Linked DNA regions of Tamandua tetradactyla. The main gene of each other region encodes a partner of the protein of the gene in region 2 in a complex. Links are inferred from orthologs where the notes say so. Each region holds a gene or a part of one and is shown on either strand. Other genes may lie near its edges. The genes, in order: ING3, EPC1 and MBTD1.

What was found.
Region 1: EPC1 (region 2) and ING3 share a complex: the UniProt entries of both Homo sapiens proteins name them as parts of the nuA4 histone acetyltransferase complex. The link is inferred for Tamandua tetradactyla from reciprocal best matches to the Homo sapiens genes EPC1 and ING3.
Region 3: EPC1 (region 2) and MBTD1 share a complex: the UniProt entries of both Homo sapiens proteins name them as parts of the nuA4 histone acetyltransferase complex. The link is inferred for Tamandua tetradactyla from reciprocal best matches to the Homo sapiens genes EPC1 and MBTD1.

What each region holds. Positions count from the first base shown.
Region 1 is NC_135327.1:161,383,839-161,391,878, forward strand, and holds the start of ING3 (inhibitor of growth protein 3), read left to right. Parts: upstream 1-5,024; 5' UTR 5,025-5,174; coding exon 5,175-5,202; exon of another isoform or gene 5,203-5,248; intron 5,249-5,447; coding exon 5,448-5,519; intron 5,520-8,040. UniProt on the Homo sapiens protein: Component of the NuA4 histone acetyltransferase (HAT) complex which is involved in transcriptional activation of select genes principally by acetylation of nucleosomal histones H4 and H2A.
Region 2 is NC_135327.1:218,877,400-218,884,982, forward strand, and holds the start of EPC1 (enhancer of polycomb homolog 1), read left to right. Parts: upstream 1-4,543; 5' UTR 4,544-4,843; coding exon 4,844-4,996; intron 4,997-5,399; exon of another isoform or gene 5,400-7,583. UniProt on the Homo sapiens protein: Component of the NuA4 histone acetyltransferase (HAT) complex, a multiprotein complex involved in transcriptional activation of select genes principally by acetylation of nucleosomal histones H4 and H2A.
Region 3 is NC_135332.1:32,355,615-32,363,135, reverse strand, and holds the start of MBTD1 (MBT domain-containing protein 1), read left to right. Parts: upstream 1-4,490; 5' UTR 4,491-4,516; coding exon 4,517-4,624; intron 4,625-5,942; coding exon of another isoform or gene 5,943-6,332; exon of another isoform or gene 6,333-6,748; intron 6,749-6,774; exon of another isoform or gene 6,775-7,012; coding exon of another isoform or gene 7,013-7,033; intron 7,034-7,228; exon of another isoform or gene 7,229-7,481; intron 7,482-7,521. Other genes in the region: UTP18 (U3 small nucleolar RNA-associated protein 18 homolog), read right to left, coding at 1,711-1,809, 4,280-4,392, 5,943-6,332. UniProt on the Homo sapiens protein: Chromatin reader component of the NuA4 histone acetyltransferase complex, a multiprotein complex involved in transcriptional activation of select genes principally by acetylation of nucleosomal histones H4 and H2A.

The DNA.
Region 1 (8,040 bases), about 57 Mb from region 2:
TCCAGTTTTACAGAAGGAGCAGCCCTTTGTGACTTCTGACTTTATGCATGATAGTTCACTTTAGCACCGTGTATGTACTGAGACTTGCAATATTTTCCCTATACCATATTTAGAACCCTCAGACAAACAATTAAGGCCAAGAACTCTCTACTTCAGCTCTGGTTCATTATTCCAACTTTGAGTTTATTCTTCATTCCTGGAACTGAGGATTTTAACTTCTTGGTTTCAAGGTTTTTTTCTTATATTTAATTGAAAATTCCTATTTGTTTTGAGGGGTGCTTTTGTGACACCTTAGATTCAAGAATCAGTTATCCTTTTCAAGATCTTTCCTCTTACACACATTGAACCCACACAATGCAATCACATCTGCAAAATCTCCCTGTTGGGAATTGAAACATGTCTCCTATAAAAGTATGTTCAGATTCCAAGCCTGTGGATATGAACCTTTAGATGTTATTAGTTCATGTGTGACCAAACTGAATGATCAGGGTGGGCCTTAACCCGATATAGTTGAAGTCCTTATAAGCAAAGGAAATTGGGAACAGAAAGAGAGAAGCTACAATGTGCAGCCAGAAGCTGGAAGTTAATGAAACCCAAAAGAGAAAGAAGATGTTGACATGCATACTACCATGTGACAGAAAAGAATTGCCAGCAACCAGCCATAGAATGTCACAGTCTGGGGGAGAAAACTAGCCTCAAATCCATGAGCCAATAAATTCCCTCTGTTTAAGCCAATCCATTGTATGGTATTTGTTTTAGCAGACAGAAGAGTAATACACTCCTAACTCTCCTTCATTAGTCACTTATCTTCTTTCTCTTTCTCCTCATTTTCCAGGTTCTCCATCAAAAACACCCACAAATCAGGTCAGGAAAACAGAATCTTCCTTTAGGGGAGGAATTGCATTGCCAAGTCTTTTTAGTTGGCCATTGGAAGGAGAAGTCTTGGAAACATCTGTAGTCACTTACTGAAGGCTATTATCCAACCTTGTTGCTTACAATTGATCTAGTGAGTGGCAACGGCTTTTACTAAAACAACACTTTATTCTGCTTCCTTTCAAAAGTACAGATGTCTGTCAGGGAGGACACACTGTCTGGTGCAAAGGTAAGAAAACATTTCATTTCAAAGCTTTACTAGGAAGATTTCAAGATGGTGGCTTTTTTTGTAAAATCAGGAAGTAGCAGAGCCTCAAGTTATTAAGTCTGGGTCCCTCTGAGGGAATCCTATATGAAGAATCATGTTTCTGTTTCTCTAGGACAGTCATATTTTGCATCCAGTCTTGAATCTTTTCTCCATGTTCTAATTTTTTCTAATTAGCTATAATCATCAGTGTAATTTGTTACTCTTAAAACCTTCTCTGCATCACTTTTCCCTTGAATTTAGTATGGCCGCAGCAGAATCATAGCAAGAGGTTTGTTTGACAAGCCTGAAGTTCTAAATGTTGTCCAGCCTCAAAATATGCTGAGGCACAAAAGAGCTGCTGCAATATGTGTAAACATAGGAGGGGACCTCATAATATTAATAAAGATAATGATAGCAACTGGCATTCGTTGAATTATAATATGCACCCTGCATTAAACTAAGTACTTTGCATAGATTATATCGTTTCAAACTTACACTCCTAAGATTTAGCTACCATTGCTATTTCCATTACCCAGTTGAGAAACGATGGCATGGAGAGTTAAAATAACCTTTTCAAGATCAACAACCAGTGTTAGAATAGGGAAGTGAACTCGTGCAGTTTAACACTGCCTGTATTCAAACCCTGCAACTATCCTGCCTGTTTCTCAAATATGCTTAAAAATTGGTCAACCATAAAGTTGGGGGAGAAAAGACAGCTGCTGAGTCACAGCATAAAAATAATTTTTAAAAACCCACAGTTCTGGAGTTCATAATGTATAATGAAAATAGGCTAAATGATTAATGACTAAAATTCCATAATTTTTTTTTTTACTATGACATGCAGATCTGTAGTTAACATTCTTTTCATTGCTAGTAACAAACTCCAAACTCTAAAGAAGTGGGTGAAAATTCAGGGAAAAAACACAAGAGCAGCTCTGGGGATCTCAGCAGAAGGACCATGTATCTACGGCGCTGCAATTAGTGCGTTTCTGCCACAATGTCTCTGCGCCTCTTCAGCCCCAATTTCAAACCCCAGAAGGGTGTATCTCCTAGGCTCAGCTTTAGCCTATCCCAGGTAAACTAATAAGATATAATATGGTCACTGGTAACCATTCCTGTGTATGTGGTACTTCCTAGAAACATAGTAAAGGCTGTAAGTTGGTAACCACTCCAAGTATTATATACTATATTATCTAATGATATAAGAAGCTACCACAATTTTCTGCTGCTGACAAATGTTCCTATTTCAAGAATTAAGTTCATTAACTAAAATATATAGAGTGTAAATTTTACTATTTTTGGTTTCTCTGGTGTGTGCAGGTATGCTGACCGAATTGAGAAGTTAGAATTGAAAATTCAGAAGACTGACTTCAAATAACTGAAATTTATTATTTCATTTTCAATATGGAAAACTCCCTGAAGAATTAGTTTTTCACGGAAATGAGTCTTCTATTTCTGAGAGCATGCCATTTTAGCTACTCTGAACGAACCCCACCCTCCTGCTGAAAACAACTAACAATGTTAGGTTTAAAAAAAAAAATCAAACATACTGATGAACTGGTAGGAAATGAAAGCAATCTCAGAGGGGATCTAAAGGGGGAAAAAAGAGAAAGGAAAATGAGAATATGCTGAGAGAAAAGTGAGGGCCAAAGCAGTCTTATGCTCAGAGAGTATCTGTCAAATTGTGGACACCTAGGGCTCCTGCTTTGATAGCTGTGCAGCATGTGTGGTCAAGAGATAAAGCCAAAGTCCTGTACAAACGGTGAACTCTAATGGGAGACAAAATCTGGGGCTCTAAAGGCCTACACTCCCAGTGTAAGTGTGAGTGAGAAATAAATCTGATGCTTAGAAGCAGTCACTAAGGAAACATGCCTATCCTGACTCTGGGACTCAGTAAAGGAAGAGAAGTATTCCCTGAGAATCTGTAACATGTCAAATCCACATTCAATCTATCTGTGCAATAGAATATACATCAAGTACTGAGTTTTATCTGGCCCTAGGGTTGATAGCGCCTTCAAAAAAAAATGTACAGAAATTCTAATATTTTCTAGGAAAACCTATCTTTGACTCTGCCCTCAAGGAATCATTATTTTTACAACCCAAGAAACATGAGTTTAGACTTCAAATTAAGAACTGATAAAAAAAAAAAAGTTACCATAAGCAAAAGCCAGAAGAAACGATAACACAAGAAGACCCATAATATTTTCAGCACTGAATTTAAAAGACACAGAACATAGACTAATTATTTTTAATCTGTATAAGGAAAGAAGAAAATAGATTGATAAGAGAATCAAATAGAATTTCTCACATGGAAAAGTAGGTGAAAGTTTTGAGATGGAGTATTTGAAAGAAAGGTTAGGAGAAAGGGAGGATACTAAAAAAGTCTTATAGATATATAATTGAAGTTCTAGGAGATAATGGAGAACACGGGAGATAAACAACATTAAGGCGATAGCAGCTGAGAACTTTCTAGACTTGTTGCAGGACAACAATCTTAAGATTCAGGAATCCCTTCAAATCTCAAGCATGATTAACAAATAAAACTAAAAATGTAAGAAAGAAAGGGAGGGAGGGAAGAAAGATGGGAAGGAGAGAGGGAAGAAAGGAATATAGAAAGAAAGGATGGATGGGAGGGAGGGAGGAATAAAGGGAAAGAAGAAGAAAAGAAAAAAATCCGAACCAAGGGTAATCATTATCAAACTGCAAAAATATTAAAGACATACAGAAGGTCTTAAAAACAGTCAGAAAAAAAAAAAAGAAAACTGAAGATACCAAATTTTAATACAAGTAGAGATGACAGATAATTCTTATTAGGATTTAGGTAAAGTTCCTTTAAGATTCAGCACTACCATAGAGAAGTATCCTGATCAAAAGATGTGATAAATTTTGAGTACAATAGTACAATGTACACACACACAGAGAGACTTTTAACTCCAATCTGAAAAAAATAAAATAGAACATTAGATTATGAACTAAAGATAATTTCCCGACAGAGTTAAAGAAATAGGTAGAAAACAATAATACCTAACATTTGAGTGCTAGAATTTTTAAAAAGAGGAAGAAAATGAGCAATGAATAACTGAATATTATCACTTATGAACATTTGGGGAAAGGAGTCAAAGGGTAGAAAAAGGCAACGCCCAGGACAACAAATGTCCAATATAATCACAATCTAAAGTGATTGTTACCACAGTCCATTAGATAGTAAGGCTCCAGCAGTTATTTCTGACTGCTTTTATGCTGTTAGGTGTGGCTGCAGGTAAATGTACAGATGATCAATTACGTCAGAACGAGGACGAAACAACCCGCAAAACAGAATATTTAATTATAAGAGGCTTCTGGGTACTTGTGTATCTTTTAGCCAGGAAATGCATATTCCATTCCATATTCTCATAGAATAGACATAGAAGCCACCCAGGTGTCCTATTTATATTTCTAGAAGTTAACACTACGATTTAATTCCAGCAGAGTTCTGTTTTAAACAATCGAAATTGCTCGCACTTTTCTGGTTATTCTAGGATTAGAACCTCCGCTATTGGCCTTAACACTACTTGAAATTCATGACTCATAAACGCCGGGACATGAAATCATAGCAGTAACGAACAGGTGAAAAGTTATCCCTAGTTATGTTGTGCAGGAGCATACAACTCCCGTCATTCCCAGCGCAAAAATCAACAAATAAACAGAAGAACCGCATTTCAGATTCTGTTGCGCACAGTGCGCAATGGCGCCTGGTTTTTGTAGTTTCCACCTGTAGAATTGCCCGCGTGTCAATTATTCCTCCGAAGGGAAAAAAACTATACTTCCCACAAAGGCATGGGGGCGGGTACCGGTCGGATAACGTCATTGCTTGAACCAACCAATGACAGCTCCGGGCGGCAGTGAGGCCAGCGCCGTCAGGCGCCAAAGTGTGTTTTTTTTTTTTTTTTTTTTCCTGGAGCCGAGCGGGTGCTGCTAGCGGAGGCGCCATATTGAAAGGGACAAAACTCCGGCGACAACGAGTGACACAAATAAACCCTTGGACCCACTCGTTTCCCCAGCTCTAAGGGCCGCGATGTTGTACCTAGAGGACTATCTGGAGAGTGAGTGCGCGGCGCTGGCGGGGCTGCCTGTGGGAGCTGCGGGCGGGTGAGAGCGCGAGTGGACGGGCAGGCGGGATGGCGGGAGGGAGGGGGAGGCGGGGGATGTTTCTTTCTCACGGTAACTGGCAGCCTCGCAGTGGGCTGCCGGCTCCCTCGACCCCCCCCGACGCACGCACGCACGCACTGACGTAAGCGCGTGTTTCCTCGTTGGCCCCGCCCCTCTGACGGACTCTTCTCTTTGACAGTGATTGAGCAGCTTCCAATGGACCTGCGGGACCGCTTCACGGAGATGCGCGAGATGGACCTGCAGGTGCAGAGTAAGTCGTGGTGTTTGCTCTTGTTGGTTACACGCGTTCAGTGCCGGACATGCCTGCTGTCGCCGCTAGTGGCTCCTGATATTTGACCGTCCTACGCCTCACTCTGGTAGTGCATAAGGAGTTATCAAAAATAAAGGACAATGAGAAATCTTACCGTTCCATCCCACGCACCTTTTCCGTAGCTTTTACAAGAGGGTGCATGAGGGAAGGTGTATATGCCTTTTTCGAATTTGGGACTATGCAAAAAAAGTTCCTAAACCTTCATTTCTTTGAGACTGTAAATATATATTTTAATGGAATTTACATCAGCATACATATTTAGAAGATTTTAACTTGAGCTTTTCTATTGTGGAACTTAGATTTCAACATCTGTATTTCTGTTAGACTTAATTCGATTTAAAATTATCGAGTGGAAAGCACAAAGGACATGTAGTATGTAGGTCTTTAGAAACCCTGGTGAACTGGAAATGCCAAATTTGGAAGTATTACGAATTATGAGATACATTTTCTATTGTCAACAGCCTCATATTGACTGAGGAAATAAGAATTTATTGTAAAGCATCGTGTCTGCTTTAATAACATTTTGGTAGTTGGCGGGTTTTTGCTTGTGACCCAAAGACATTTTCAGTGATAGCTAGGGAGTTGGGTGACTTTTTTCCAAAATTACCTTACTGTTTCAAGAGCAGAGGTTATAGTTAGGAGACTCAGGGACTAGAGAGTTTGAAAAGGGACTTCAGGGTGTTCTGGAATACACTGCAATTTTTAAGTTGTATTTTATTTATATGGGAAGTTTCTTGAAAGGGTCCATGATTCGAAAAAGGTAGCTAAGAAGATAAATACTCAGCACAGAATTATATTTCAAAACAAGAACATAGTGCTGGGTATCACATTTATGTCCATCATGCTCTGAAAGAACCTCACAAACCTTTCATAATTGGAAGATAAATATGTGATAACTGTTTCAGTTATCTCCTAGAGATACTATGTTAACATTAATTAATTAAAAATGTGAAAATTATATAATGCATAATTAAAATGTGTGATCAATAGAACCTTGTTGGCTATATGTCACTTCCTTTGTTTGGAGAAGTGTTTAATTAAGGAGTACCTTAATTAAATCATTTAAATAATATTTATAGCTGGTCATCATGTAAAATGGGCCCAGAAGTTATGTTTGTTGATCTTCAGGTTGTACAAAAAATGTTTCTGGTGCTGCCATGTTTTCTTCTTGTAAAAGTAGGGGTGGAGAAAGACTTGAACTTTGAGGTAGAGACAAAAGTAGTATCATGTAAAGAAATCAGAGCACCAGCCATCCAAGAGTGTGGGGTCTTGGGTAGCTAAGAAGATTCATTACCCGCCCCCCCACACACACACCCCACTTTTCTGCCCTATCACCACACATACGCACTTCCATACCCACTGTTTCACTGTTTGTGAATATAATTTCTCAGCCTCATTAGTTTAATTAAGGACATCTTAGAAAACCAACAGGGGAGGAAAGCCACGTTCTCTTTTTATTCAGTGGATTGTACTGTGAAAGTGTGAATTGCATGTTAGTTTTCCAGTTTACTCACAAAATTCATTTCATCTTTAATATAGTTGAAGTACCAAGGATTTGTTATTGTTTTCTTTAGGATTCAGCACACATTTTGACTTCATACAGTTCTGAGTTAATTTCAAGGCTTCATAAACTTCCTCACTGACCTTGACCATTATTACCATTTCTGAGGGTTTTTCATCATCTGTAAAATAGGAGTGACCTGAAGATTAAAAATATTTAAAATAAATTGCAAAGTATAGTATCTGATAAGAGATAGACAAAAGGGTAGCCATCATTTTATAATTTTTGGTTCTTACAAATTTAAAATTCTCTTATAATTTGGACTTAGTATTATTCAAATTATAGTTCTTTTAAACTTGTATTTTTTACAATAGAGTTTTCTGAAGTTACAGTTGTTATGAATTAACAAAAGAGGCACTTGAGTTGAATAAATTTAGAAAATGCTTATTTAAACAAAGGGAAATTAAAAAAAAAAATTGTAGGACCTCAGGATGTTTAAAAAGCTGTTATGCACTGAAAATCTCCAAAAAGTATATAATAAAAAGGATATATTCAACTTACATGAGCCTGACTCCCTTTTATTTATTTATTTTTCCTTTTTTAACAAATGTCGAATGAGATTATTACTGGGGCACATTTTGAGAAAAGCAGGTGTAGAATAAATCATATAGTGCAGTAAGTGGATAAATGATTGTGTCTACTACTTTAAATTCTGATAAAAGATGATAAGATGCTTATGGCGTATAACAGGAGGTTAAGATTTTTAAAATCACTTTTTCTTATTAAAAAGCATGATTATCCAGTAGTACTTTCAATAAGTGATTGTGTTTGAGCATATATGACCAATTTGTTAGCATTATCTTTTGACCCCAAAGCTGTACAATTCAAAAACTCTATAGACCCCACTTGTGTTGTTGACACTACTTGGACTAATGGAAAAGGTTTTGAAATGACAATAAG
Region 2 (7,583 bases):
GAATGCTTGAAGGAATGAAGAGTCTAGACTTCTATTACTAAAACTGGTATTATGATTTTTTATCTTATTGTCCCATCAAAGAGAACTGTAACTTCTTTGATATCATCCACTATTGCCCTCCTTTCTTCTTGCCTCAGAAGATATGACTAAAGTTATTCCTTTCCTATGTCTTTCCTTTTAGTATACAAATATGCACACATCTCTTTCATCTTCAAAAGCAATAAAACCCTTGGCCTGAATAGCTTTGTGTCTCTCCTTCCCTTCATTGCCAAGCTGCATGAAAGAGTAGTCTACCTTGAACATCTCTCTTTTCTCACTTTGCATTCACTTAATTAATTTTAACCTAGTATCTTTGGCCCCATTCTGGAATCAGACAGCCAGAGATTCAAATCTCAGTATCACCTCTCATTGGCTTTGCAACCACAGGCAGGTCATATCACCTCTCTAAGGTGAATATCTCTCTACAGGACACACCTCATAGAGCTCTCATGAAAATTAAATGAGAGAATACATTGAAAGCACTTCCATACTGCTGGTGTATAGCAAAGGCTCAATCAATGGTAGTTATTATTCTTAATGATCCAAAGTATAATAGGAGTTCGGAGATGAGAAAGATGGGCATAGGCTTAAGAAGAATTATTTTTAGTTCACCTAAGTTTCCTTATTCTTGAAACTAGGAAGTTAGGGCCCAGAGATGTTGAATAGCTAAAGAAAGCTTCATGGAGGAGATGATATTTGAGTTGGATTTTGAAGAATAATTAAAAATAGTGACATCTGTCAAGGGTTCGCAGTGGCCAAGTGACAATTTGAATGATTTACATGGATTTTATTCAACCCTGAGACATTCTGTGAAGTAGGACTTCGGTGGCTAGTAGATGGTTAGTCTGAAGGGGGAGAAGGAAGACAGAGAGAAAAGAGTGAAAAATCAGAGGCAGAAACATGTGATGAGTTCTAAAGACAGTGTCAGAAGCCAGGATGAAGAATTTGTCTTAGAGGTCTGATGTTGGATAGAGAAGGCAAAATTATGGGAGGTCTTAACAACCTACCAAAGAATTACTTTATTTAACGAACAAAATAAAGAGTAGTTGTGGTTTGGTGGCAGACACTGCACCATGAAACCCTGGAGGGCAGAGTTTCATGACTAACTCCCCAGGGGCCCACGCCTCTACCAGCCACTACCACTAGTCACTATTGGGAGATTACCAGCAATTTTGACAATATAGGGAATAAAGGCTGATTGAGGGAATGAATGAATAAAAGGTGGATTGGATTGAAGATTGTTTCTACATGTGATGTGATGAAAGCTTGAACCATGTCTGAGACAGTGGAAATGGGAATAGAGGCAAATCTTCTATTTTCAAAGAAGAAAGTATGGACTAGGGGATATACTGGATGTAAGCTAATATTCAGAGCCTTATTTCAGGTTTATTATAGAATGCAAAATGCAGTGTCAGAGCAGTTGTATTTGAAACGTTCTCTCTTTGAAGTGTTTGATTTTTTTAAAAGCAGTAATTCTGCATTCAAAACAAATCACCTTTCAGGGTGATGATATTGTAATTCTTACCACTAAAACTTAGGCCTCTTTACTTTCTACTCCTACTCCCTCCACTCACGTTCTTACCAGTTTTGCATAATACTTTGATTGTTGTAGGAGTTCTCTACTGAATGCTGGCCAAAATAAACCCCCTCATCCTCAAACACACCTAACAGTTGCCCTTCCCAACCCCAACTTTTGTTCATTTAATTGCTTCCTCCTGTGAATGCCCTTCTACCCTTTTCTAAACTCCCATAGCACTCACTACATTTCACTATACCACCTAGTACTGGTCATTTGGTTAACTGGTTATCCCTTGGCCAGTATCTTATTTGTATCCCTTACAGTGAGGTACCGTGTATTGCCTAGTTATCCAATAAGTATTTGTGGCATGAATGAAGGGTGTTTTAACTAACTGCAAACACCTTTCCAACAAAGAGTTTCCCATTGAGGAAATGTTATTCAGCTTTATACTAGTATACGTTTCTTGCATCATGTTGAGAATTTTTCTTGCAATGTTGAGAATTTCATATCACTTTTGTTGATGTTTAGAAAAAGAAGTTGAGAGTAGAAGAGAAAGTTAAAGTAAAAGAAATTGCAGGAGTAGGTATTTTGCAAAGAATCTTTTGGTGGGTTAAAGGAAGCTGAGGAAAATTAAATCTGTATTTTCCCTTCTGCACACCTGACTCTAAAGAGGGAGGGAAGTGAACCAAATATATGAGAGGCTTGGGACTTCAGCTTCTGGGTCGTTAAGAACCCAGTAGGAACTGGGAGGTAGAAATTCAGGACATTGAGGACCTGGATGGAGAATCAATGCAGAAAAAAAGATGTCTCTAGCATATTAGTTGCAAAAAAAGCAAGCTGAAAAATGTGTAAGCATCTCCAAAAACCTGTCATGGAGAGCAACGCTAGAGTTTCTTAGAAAACTTACCTGTACAATGATTTTGTTACTAATGTAGTATGAGGAAAATGTTATGCATAAGCTGTTATTTTTAATGAAGGTAAGATGTGTTTCCTTGGTTCACTCATAACTTAAGACCCTATTTTGTTCTATAAAGTCTTAGGTTCCTCAGTCACAAATTTAACTACTGGGATTCGGGGAATCTCATATTCTAGGCTAGATGGAAAGAACTGTTATACTCATTTCAGCCAGTATTTTCAGAACTGTTAAATCTGGCTAAATAGGAGTCATGCTCCACAGTGGAATTGGCAGTTCTTTGAAGTTCCCAGAATGTGACATGCTGAGTGTCTCAGGCATAAGCCTTTGCAAGTGCTTCCTTCTAGTTTTTTGTTTGTTTGTTTGGTTCGTTGGTTGTGTGTTTTGTTGTTTTTTGCATCATCTCCAAGAAGCCTTCCCTGACTGCTTTCATTATAGCCACTATCCATGGGTTGGGTGCCATTCCTGCTTGTTCTCACTAGCCTGGATTTCATCATAGCAACTTACCGCTAAGTGTGGCAGTTGTGATTCACAGGTCCTTCCTCCTGGAGCCCTCTGGGTGCTGAGCAATCAGCAGCACAACTGGAAGAGAGCAAGGGCTCAAGGTTTGCTCTTTGGATGAATAAATGCAGTCTTGGTATAGAAAATGTGGGTGAAAGTCCCTCTGCCTCACAGAGTTTTAGCATAATTTTGGAGAACTACAATCTATGCCTCTCCTTGTCTTTTCCCCACCCCATTGAGTATAGTTAAACCAACCTGGAAGATAACAGTTTGCTTAAGTGCCCTAAGCTAATAATAGTTCATACCCAACCCAATATTTAAGAACACTGGTTATTTTTATTATGTAGCCCTATCCTCTCCCTGTGAGGGACAGACTTACAAAATACTTTCGTTATCTTTTGAAAAGATGTGAAATTTTGTTGCCACCTCATTAAAGCCACCCAAATAATCTTAACGATTTTTAAAATACTACTCTGGAGAGAGTTCTCTGGACATTCATTTTCCTGTGTAATATAAACCAAATGTCAGCAATGTATTACATCTATCTAAATCTCTTCTAATAATTCGTTTCCCGTGCGCGCGCGCGCGCTCATGGGGTGTTGTTGGCAGGCGCCTGGCAGCCTATATGGTTCAGTTTTATAAATATATAATTTTTTTTATTGAACAAATGATAAAGAACCCATGGCTATGCTGAAGTCGCCTTTTCTTTTCAGTACAAAAATCACAAGCTGAGTATAAAGTATAGGCTGTTAAACTCTGAAGAAGATCTTGCTTTAATTTTTTTTCTTCGTAAGGTTACAGTATCCAGTTTCCTTTCTTTGCTCCAATTACAATAAAAGAGTTAATATGGGAAGATAAAATGTAGGCTTAAAAAAATACTTTGGAGTAGGAAACCAGCGGGAGGGAAACTGACCTATGAATTGATGAGGCGCCTATCAAATGACAGAACCCAAGTTCATTAGACGTAAAAAAAAAAAAAAATGCGGGTAAAAGTTCACTCGAGTCACATTCTGCCCCTAATTTCGTTTGTATTTTTGCCGCGGTAACTAGGCTATGCGTTCGCCCACGAATTGGCCACCGGTGCGCACCACCTCGGGAACGCCTGTCCCTGGTCCTGCCGCAGGTGGCGTTGGCAGCCTGGGCGTCGCCCCCGCCCCTCGCGCCGGCCGGGATGGCAGGTGCCCGAGCCCTCGGACCGAGCCGCAGGGAGCGAGCCCGGCCAAGGCCGCCGCCCCGCGACTCTCTCCGCACTGCCTTTCGAGAAGCCCGAGGGCGAGTGGAAATAGTTTTCCTGCACCTTCCTTCGCCTCTCAGAAGAGAGCGGTCAGAGGGAGCGAGCGTGAGAAAGTGAGCGCGTGCGCGAAGAGGAGAGGAAGCCCAAGAAGCCGGCTCCCGGCGCCTGAGCGCCTGGCCCAGCTGGCCGCCCGGCCCTGGTCGCGCCCGACCGGCGGCGGGCGGGGGCCTGAGCAGCGAGGCGCGGGGAGCGAGGCCCGCGGGAGCCGGGGGTTGACGGGACGCGCGCTCCGTGCCGGCGCCGGCCTCGAGCCCGCGCTCCCCCCCCCCCGCCCGCGTGCCCGCGCCGCTGCGCGATGCAGTGTGGGGAATGGCTGGGGTTGGCTGAAGAGCGCACAGTGGAGTTTTAATGTCCGCCATGTTGGCCATGGCGTATTGAAGAGAGCGAGCGAGAGAGGAGCGGAGCGGCACAGACTCCCACCCTCCCGGCTGGTGTTAGTGCCCGGACAGCGGGCTCTGCGCTCCGTCCCTCAAGTCCCCGGCAGCGGTAGGCGAGTGGGGACCGAACCCCCGGTTCTCCATGATCCCGCTGGCCGGGGCCGTTTCCCCAGAGCGGAGAGGTATCTGCTGCGCCTGAGATGAGTAAACTGTCGTTTCGGGCGCGGGCGCTAGACGCCTCGAAGCCGCTGCCGGTTTTCCGCTGTGAGGATCTGCCAGACCTGCACGAATACGCCTCGATAAACCGGGCCGTGCCGCAGATGCCCACCGGAATGGAGAAGGAAGAGGAGTCGGTACGTGTTAACTCCCCTGTCCGACCCACCGCCAGGCCCCGCTCCCTGTGCTGCCTGCGGCGGCGACGGAGCAGCATTCCCACACAAAATGGCCGCCATCTTCTCTTCCCCGCCGACTCTCAGTTGCCGGCCGGGTCTTTACCCCGCCCTCCCCAGCCTCGACCCCGGCCGCCGCGGCCTGGTAGGGCCTCCTCTGAGGCCACCCGTCGACCCCGGCCACTGGTACCCGGGTCCCGCGGAGTTCGGGGGCCCGAAAGGCACAAAGGGGTCACGTGACGAAGCCGCCGGCAGCCATTTTGTGGTCTTTAGTTCTTGGGCTGGGCCTTGTGCATCCGGAGAGGGGAGCGGGCTGGGCGGCGGGGTGCGGCGGGCCCGGCGCGGAGCAGGACGACCTGCCTGCAGGCCTTTCCGCGGGCCGCTGGGTGGCGCTCCAGGGTCACCTCGGCCTCCGCGTCGCTGCTGGCGCTGGGGAACGCTGGTCTATGCAATGGGGCGGTTCGGCTTCCCCGGCGCCGGGAAAGCTTGCTCGGCTGGAACCAGCCCCACACGGAGTCTCGGAGGGGGCCTGGTCTCTGAGGCTTATTTCTCCCCCTCCCTGCAACGGAGTGTCGAGCTTACTGCGTGTTTGCCCTGACGACTTTCATAGATTAGAATTATTCGCAGTATTCTCTTTCTGGGACTTTTGCATCCATCCCTTCCCTCCCAATGTTAGTTAGTCGGAGGATGATCAACTACTATCTCTGATTTTTTCTTTGATCCTTGAGAACATGTTGCAGATACGTTTGGAATACGTGGCTCTTATTTAAAGCCTATAACTTTAATGTATTTTTTTTTCTGTAAAATTTAAGTTTTTATGCTTTCTGATCTCACAACGTGGGGGGAGAAAAGACCCAATTAGATAGATCTAAATTTAGGAAGAGGGTCATTTTCTTATCCATAGTTAAACTAAAGTTTAATGAAGTCATAGTCTTAACATTGAAATATCTAAATCGGGTGGGTTTCAGAATGTAAATGTTTGTTTACAGCTAATAGACATTTTGTTATAGCTGTGGCTTCACCTTATTGTGGAAGTTGGGTTCAGACACAAGGATAATAGAATCTTCCTCTCATTTCCCCCAGATCCTTGACAGTATAACTTGATAACGTCTAATCCTAAGGAATTGCATACCTTGGTTTTCAGGTACAGCCATTAAAACAGGGTGCAGTGTATTGACAGTTCAAGGAAGTCGAGGAATCGCGTGGATATGCTACAATTTTGTTGTGGAAAATTGTACTGTAATGCTTCTCTTTGGTACTGTAAGAATTTTGAATGTAGTAATCATACTCTGTAATGTTTTTGAAAATAAAACTGTTTAAACTTGTTTGGGTCGTTTAACCTTTCAACGTACAATAGTTGTGACAGCGAATGTTACTTTTAAGAGTAGTGTGTTAAATCTTATTTTACAGATAAGCTAAGTGCATGTAGTAGTTGATTGTCTAGTGTAGTACTGACTTTTAGCACCTTGTCTATGAGACAGCATCTCTTAATTTATTACTTGTATCAACTTTAGAGTAGAATGGTACCATTTGTTTATTTTTAAACAAGTGATTTGTTTTTAAAAATTAAAATACTTGTGACTGCAGAATCTTGTCTTTTGGTTTTATTTTTGTTTCTGTTTATAAGTTTTGCAGATAATACTTTTCAAGTTGGGGTTTTGGTGTTACACTACCTTGGAAATTAATTTGTAATTCTTGTTTACAGCCAAGGGGAGAGCCTTGATTAAAGGAAGGTAACACTACAGTACAGTTTAAGTCTTTGCTTCTATGAATACTTTGAACAGTCCCAAGAGCTACCACCTAAAGTTAGAGCTACGCTTAACTGAGGCATCAATGCTTATTAAATTTACAGATAATTTTTGTTCACTGAAATTATTTTGACATTTGATAATGTGAATGGATCTCATTAGATTGCAGCATTACAGCATGTGGAGTCCCTGTGGAGGGACATAGGGATTTTTTTTTCCTTTAGACTGCCTTTAACATCATCTGTTTAGAATTTCAGTTCTCATCTACCGAATGCTATGTGTATGATCAGTGAAGCATAGCTTAAGAGTAGATACCGAACTTAACGGGGATGTAAAAAGTACCAGGTAAACAAACAAGCTGCTCTACAAACCTGTGGTTCATGCTGGTGGTAGAACATATAAATAGTGGTATTGAAACTAGCATGGTTACAATATTGGATGTGTAAGCTAAGCATAAATAAAGGTAACTGAATTCTGAGTTAATCTTGTAAAAACAAGAACTTTTGATAATTTGTTGAAGCATCTTTTATTTCTTACAAAGAAGAAGGTTAAAACAAACGTCTGCCTTTGACACATTAGGGATGCTGTCTCTTGGGTCTGAGTGACCTAGAGCCTGAATTGACTAATTTAGAAAAAGTAAATAATCCTATGTTGGTCATGAAAGATGGGGCCGATATGGATTAGGACAATTTCTTGTACTCTGCTTCATTAATAAAGCATTTCAGGAACAAAATGCATCTGTAGAATTGTCGTGAAATATCCCTAGTAATTATTACTTTATTTTGTTTCTATAGTAAACCTGA
Region 3 (7,521 bases), on a different chromosome or scaffold from region 2:
ACTTCAAAAGACAAAAATAAAGAGAGAATTCTGAAAGCTGTGAAAGAGAAACAAGTCACATCCAAGGGAGCCTCAATAAGATTAAATGCAGATTTTTCATCAGAAACCATGGCAGCAAGGCGGCAATGGGATGACATATTTAAAGAACTGAGAGCAAAAAATTGCCAACCAAGAATTTTATATCTAATAAAACTATCTTTCAAAAATGAGGGCAAGATTAAGACATTACCAGATAAACAAAAGCTGAGGGAATGTGGCACTACTAGATCAACCCTAAAAAAAGATGCTAGAGAGGTCTGTTGGTTTAAAGGAAAGGATGGCAGACAACAGATTAAAACCACATGAAGGGGCGGGCCACAGTGGCTCAGCAGGCAGAGTTCTCGCCTGCCACACACACACACACACACACACACACAAACACAAAAACACATGAAGAAATAAAGACCTCCAGTAAGAGTAATGACATGGGCAAATATAAACGCCAGTATTATTGTATTTTTAGTTTGTAATTCTGCTTCTTACTTCTTATAGGATCTAAAAGGTAAATACATAAAATGCAACAATGAATCAGAGGTTTTGGACTTAGAATGCAATTTGTGACAAGAATTACATAAAGGTCAAAAGCTAGAGGGGCATATTTGTGTATACTAATGAAGTCAAGTTGTATCAAGGCAAACAAGATTATTATAGATTTAGGATATTAAATTTAAATCCTACAGTAAATATAAAGAAAATTCTGGAGAATATGTGAACTAATAGAGACAGAAATTAGAGTACAGGCTATCAAGGACATGAGCCAGGGGGAATGGGGAATTATTGCATAATGAATATAGGGTATCTGTTTGGGGAGATGGGAAAATTTTAGTAATGGAAGGTGGTGAGAATAACAGTATTTTTTAATGTGATTAATTCCATTAATTAGTGATATAGGAGTGGGTGAGAAGGGAATATTTATGTTGCAGATATGTTTCCACAATTAAAAAAAAAAACCAAAACAGAAATTTCAGAATGTGGAACATTCTACAAGAAAACTGGCCTGAATATTTTAAAAAATCAATGTCAGAGGCAAAAATTAAGGCTGGCTTAGGTTAAAAGAGATTTTAGAAACATAAAATATAACACAGGAACCTTATGACAACTGGAGATATGTGTAAGATTTGATAATGATATCTTGGATAAGAAGGGAAATGCCCTTGACCTTTGGCAATGCATACTGAAGAACTTAAGAATGAAGTATTCTGTTTTCTGCACCTTATTTTCACTTCAAATAAATCAGGAAATCATATACACACACATTCATACACACACCCCTCACATACATAAAGCAAATGTGTGCAAAAATGCTAAAATATCATCCAATCCAGGTAGAAAGTATTAAAGGTGTTCAATTTTGAAATTTTTCATATTATAAAGTTGTGGGAAAGAGATGGTTTACTACATACAAATAATTAAACAAGTACACAGTATCATCACTGGTTATATTTGAGTGGTGAGATCACAAAAAACTTCTTCCAAATTTCCTTCACGCTTGTTGTATCCTCGCTCTCCCAATTTTAAATTTAATCATTTCTTCCAATAACAATACTTTTAACTGTTTCAAAACAGAAACTGACTACTCAAAAACCTACAGAAAACAAAGATTTGCAACTCCAAATAAACTACTGGTTATAAAATTATATCTTGGTGAATCACATGAAAAAAGACACTTACTCTTCTTTAAGTCTCTTTTGTAACTGTTCTTTTGAAAGTCTACTTTCACTGGCATTTTTCATCATATCTTTCCGAAAACGATTGTTCATCATGTCAACCCTATAAAAAACAAGAACAGCATGCTTTAAATGTTTAAAGATTCAACACAAATAGTTGTTGCCTTTACCACTTAGATAAAACTAATTTCACAATATATATCAAGATGTATAAGATGCAGAACATATCATATGCATATTCTCCATTCTTCTTCAAACAAAAAAGAATCTCCAGTATTTCAGATCATGAGAGAGTTTATTCATGAGAGAGCTAATATCTCAAATTCAAAATCAATTATCCTGGCACAGTTTATACCATCAACCAAATTAAATTCCAGGTAATCAAGTTATATGTACAAAAAACAAATCTTAAACTGTTAAAATCTGTTTTAACAGTAAATTAGTAAAAATAGTATTAAAAAAAGATTCACAGATCAATATAAAAATTTAAATATGGAGTTTCAAAAGACATTACAAAACAAAATTAAAAGGCCAACAGGAAATTAGGAAAAAAATTTGCAATAAATTCGACACAAAAGTTTTAAAATTCACAATATGTAGGGTTCTTTTACATTAAAATAATTAAGAAAGTCTCCAATAAATAAATAAGAGATACTAAAGAACTCTTATAAAAGAAAATACCAACGACTAATAGCAAAGATGGTTTTTCAACACAAACTAGAGATTATTTCCCACCCATCAAACTGACAAAATCTGAAAAACGATAACATTATCTATGCAACAGGAGTGATGAAATGGATACCTTTTGATGGGAAAATAACTGATAGAACCTTATCATATGTAGTCTGGCCATATTTATCCAAAGCTCTAAAAGTGCTCATGCTTTCTGATCAAGGGATTCCACCTCAGAGAATCTTTTTTAAGGAAATAATCAGGAAAGTAGACAGAAATTCATGCACAAAGATGCATTAATTTATTAAAGGGAAAAATAAAAACAATCGGTCCAATAATAGCTATGTAAATTAGGATTAATTCGTACTATTGGTTATAATACAGCCCTTAAAAATGTTTATAAGGTTTTTTTTAAAAAAAAGAAAAGAAAAATAGGGAGCAAATACTTGAAATAGAGTGATAATTAGAAAAAGACAACATGCTAAACTAAATATACGGTACATTTTCATCAACAAAAGCACATATCACATGTGCTAGCTAACCTTTTAGCCTACACAGTTCCAGGCACTGTGCCAAGAGTTCTATTTGCACCATTTCATTTAATCCCTACACCCTTCTGATAGTTATTATCATCATCATTTTACAAATGAGAAAAGGTAGGTTCCAAACTTGCTGAAGGACAGTTAAGAAATGGTCAAATTCTGAAGGAGTTTAAAGTTTAAAGTAAGGGTCATGAAACAAGAAGTCTAATAATTTGAGTATGGTAGTCCAAATCACAGAAAAAAGAAACACTTCTACTCTTTGGGAGAAAGGGATAATTTTATAGCAGCTAAAGGAACCCAAGAAAGTTCAGAAGAATAAACAGAACACAAACTTCCTCATCAGCATAGAACATGCAAAAGTGATATCCTCCAATTCCACATAACTAAAGAAACTGTGTATGATCTGGAGATGAAAATATAACTTTAAAAAAACTTTCTGGGATTCCTCAGTTTGGCTTGGCAAGGCAAAGAGGTCCTAGCAGAAATAGAGTTGAGGAGCCCAGCAAAGTTCTACTGAGGAATTTCAGCCAGTGGAGTTAATAGTGAAAGTACAACTTGCAATGTGATTTCGAACATCTCTTAGGGCATGAGAAGGCAGCAGTTTGAACAAGCAAGTCAGGTAAGTGCATGATTCTATTTCACAAGGCAGAGTTTCCATAGGCAGTAATTACTGCTACTCTCTTGTTCTAGAAAAACAATAGTAGGTCACTTCACAGTATATCAATTAAAGCCCCACTTGTTTCAAAGCAAGTCCAATTTTGCTGAAGTTGTAACTCAGAAATTAAAAATTAACAAATGATTATGATTACTGAATCATTCTATAGATGTTTTTTCTTTCTATATTGTAGACTAACCTAATGTCAATACCTGAAATTACTGAAACTCTTAGCCCAGTGTATACTTCCTATTACAGTGGTCATTCTACCCTAGCCTCAGCTCTGTTTACACATGTTATTTTAATGGTAACAACACCATCTCCCTTGTTTGAATCCATAAAAAACCCAAACTCCTTAAATTCAGGGAGACAGATTTTGAGCCTACAGGCCATGTGATCTGCTTCCCGCTTAGCAATAAACTCTCTCTTTGAAATTCCAAAAGAAAAAAAAAAGGCCAAATTAGGAAGAAACTTAGGTCTGAGTTCTTCAAACACACTGCTCTCATTGTTATTCTCTACAACGAAGGAAAAAAAGAGAGGGAGAGAAGTATGCCAAAATGTTAACAGTGGTTCTCAGCTTTTCTTTTCCATAATTTCCTACACTTTTCAAATTTTCAATCACATTTTCATAAGAATGTTTAAAACCTGCAAAAGAACTTTTCAAGTGTCAAGAAGAATTCTGGAGAAAAAGTTAAGCAACTCACATTTCCTCATCTTCATCTTCCTCATCCACCCAAACTGGCTTCTTTTGAGGTGGAAAAGTATCCTTTGAGTCATTCTCCACTTCTGAATCATCAGAGTCTTCATGCACATGAATCTAGAAAATACAAAATGTCCTCACAATGAGTTTTTCACACATCTTGTAGTCAGGTGGTTTGAAGAATGCAGTCCTCTGATGAAATAATGGGATGGAATGCCACCAGCATGCTACAGAGCAGAAAATGAAAAGACCAGTAAATGGCACTGCAGCCTGGACAGACAAGGAAAGATGGAACTTAGAGAAAATTAACATGCTAAAAGAAAAAGACCAAGTAAGACAACAACAAAAGGTAAGACAGACGAGGAAAGGCACAGGAAAAATTCCAGAACTACAGAAAATGACAAATCTAGAGTCAAAAATAACATAATTGTCATATTTCTTATCTCATACTCTTAGAACTATTCCTTCACTTCTCTTAACTCTTTTTGAGCTTTACTCAAGAAACCACTATGAAATCTAAACGAAGATCACAGAATATCTCTTGGAATAAGCTCAGCCTTCCTGAAACTGCATGGTAGAAATGCCCAAGGGATTTCTAGTTACTCTATTTACAGATATACGCAAAGCCCAACAAATCCCATCTCCTACAAGAAGTCTCGACAAGTCCACTTCAGGTATATTTATTCCTTTTCTTCACTGACTATCGAAGTGTCATACAGTCTGTTTTAAGATTAGACATCAGCAATTTCTCCCATAGCACCCAAAGGCTTTGGAAATCAGATCGAACTTGACCCTTGTTAGGTCCGCATTAATTTAGCAAATAAATTGCGTAATTCTCGGTGAAGCTTTTCGGGGCGACCCTTTCTAAACTCTCACTGGCCTCCTCCATACCACTAATCACCCTTCCCAGAAAGCTTTTTTTTTTTTTTTTAACAATCTCTCCAGCCCTTGTTACTAACATATTTGAGCTCTTCTTATTTTATTGTCCGTCTCTGCCTTTGGTTTATAAGCTCCAAGAAAATTTTATCAATGTCATTCATTATGTGAACAATGCCTGGAACTCCCAAACTTGGGAGGAAAGCCATATAATAAAAGGAATGTTTAAAAAGTGTAAAAACGTATAGGCAATTACGAAGGGTTTGCCATTGCCAGAAGAGTATCTGGCACTCAACAAGCTGGCAAATGTGTTGAATCAACGATTACACAATGGTTAGAAAAGCTGGTATACAAGAGACTGTTAAAATACATTTTCCCAGGCCCGCGCCCAGGAATTCTGATTCCACAAATAAAATGGAACTCCGCAACCTACATCAACAAACACGGTAGACGACTGAGGAAAGTGATCAAGCATCCACGCTGGAAAGGACAGCTAAGCTGAGCCGCGATAAGATGCTCAGAACTAACTACAAGTTGAGCACCTGCTGCATACCAGGCTCAGTGGCTCCCCTGGAGGCGGAGAGAGGTGCGGTCTCCGCCCTCCGAAGACTTCGTCGGGCTCCAAGAGGCGGGGGACGCACAGCGGCACCCCCTCGGCGCCCACGTTCTCAGGCTCCCTCCCACCTGAGCGCTCCTCGCCGCCTCAGGTCACCCAGACTCCGCCCCCGGAGTCTAGCAATTCGCGCGCCCCGCCCGAGCGCACCCAGCCCGCGCGCCGAGGCCTCCCTTACCCGCGGGCCCCGCAGGCGCCGCAGTAGCGCGTGCTCGTCGTCCTCGACATCGCCGAAAACCAACTCCTCCAAGCACCGCTCCACCGCGGGTTTGTCCTCCTCCAGCGCCAGACGGTTCTGCTGCCGGAGCCGCCTCTCCTCCTCCGCCGTGACTGCGATCGCAGCGGTCGCCGCGCTTAGCCGGGCAGCGGATTTCCGCTGGGATGAAAGGGCAGGTTTTCGAGCTGGGCCGGCCGGCCTCGCTCCGCTTCTTCGGTCCGGCTTCATTCGAGTCCTTGAAGCTGGCATCCCTCCGGTTCTGCGCTTGGGTTTCATTCGGTTCCCTCGCTGCGGCGGCATCTTTAGGTTTGAGAAGAAACGTAGGGGCTCACGTGGAACCTTACAGCGCATGTGCCCAGATGCCTCACTTTCCACCGCCACTAGAGAGGCGGGAGGGGCCGGAAGGAGCCTGTGCAGCCTCTTAGCACGTGACCCAACACTCGGTCCCTACTTAACGCCCACTCTTCTAGGGAGCCCCTCCCCACGTGGGAGTTCCTCCGGGAGAGCCAATCTTCTGGGTGAAGGGGGAAGCGGCGTGACAGGGATGGAAAATTTTTCCATGTCAGCTTCGCAGTTGCAACATAGTCAAAGGAGTACAAAAAGCCAAAGTATAAACCAAGGTGATGGAATGAAATTTCTACTCTTCTGCTTTTTAACCCGTCGACTTAATCCACGTCCTGATTACCTTCTCCACCCCTGCGTCTTGGTACGACCCATAGAGTACGGAGCCTGTAGAGGGTCCCACGCTGGAAGAGAGAGAGAGGAGGGTATGTAGGGAAGTGGGCCAATCGGGGCGCAGGTCACGGCGCAAGCGCGCTGGGGAGGGAGGGCTATGCTAATGTTGTTGATATCCTGGGGCCACCCTAGTTAAAGGGGGGAAATCCGGGGGCTGCCACAGCCGCCGCCAGTCTGGGCCCAGCCGTGGGCCCCTTGTAGTCGCCACCGTCCCGCGGAGAGGCGCCTACCCCCGGCTCGGGGAGGGGGCGCCGCGGGTCCGGGGAGCACGGACATCCCCTACCCATGAGGCCCTGATGGAAAACACAAAGGATCTGGTGAGAACTGAGCGCGGCAGCCGCTTTGTGTGCAAAGTGTGTGCAAGGTGGGGGGACGCCTACAGCTCCCCGACCTCAGGGACTCCTACAGCTCCCTGGCCCCACTCCCAGGCCTGTCTCTTTATCCCACGCCCCCTCTACCTCTGGAGTCCCCCTCCCCCTACCGGCCGTTAAACGATTCAGGGTCTCCCCTCCCCCCATTCCCCTAGCCCCGGCCTCCCTGGGGTTCTCCTTACCCCTCTTCCACGCTCTGGAAAAAACATTGAGAAGAAAGTTTTTCTCTGCGTCTTGAGCCCCCTGCCCCCGCTCTGGAAGAGGAGTGGGGTGGGTAGCTGGATCTGGGACTCTTCTCTTTTTTAGCTTCTCAGAGTGGGAGACTGGAAGTCCACTTGGCTTCCGAGGGGACATAGTGTTGGTGCTTGGCGGGGAAAGGCGCCTACCCGCTTTGGGGCCAGTGCCGCAAGGCATTTCGCACGTGGAGGTGGAAA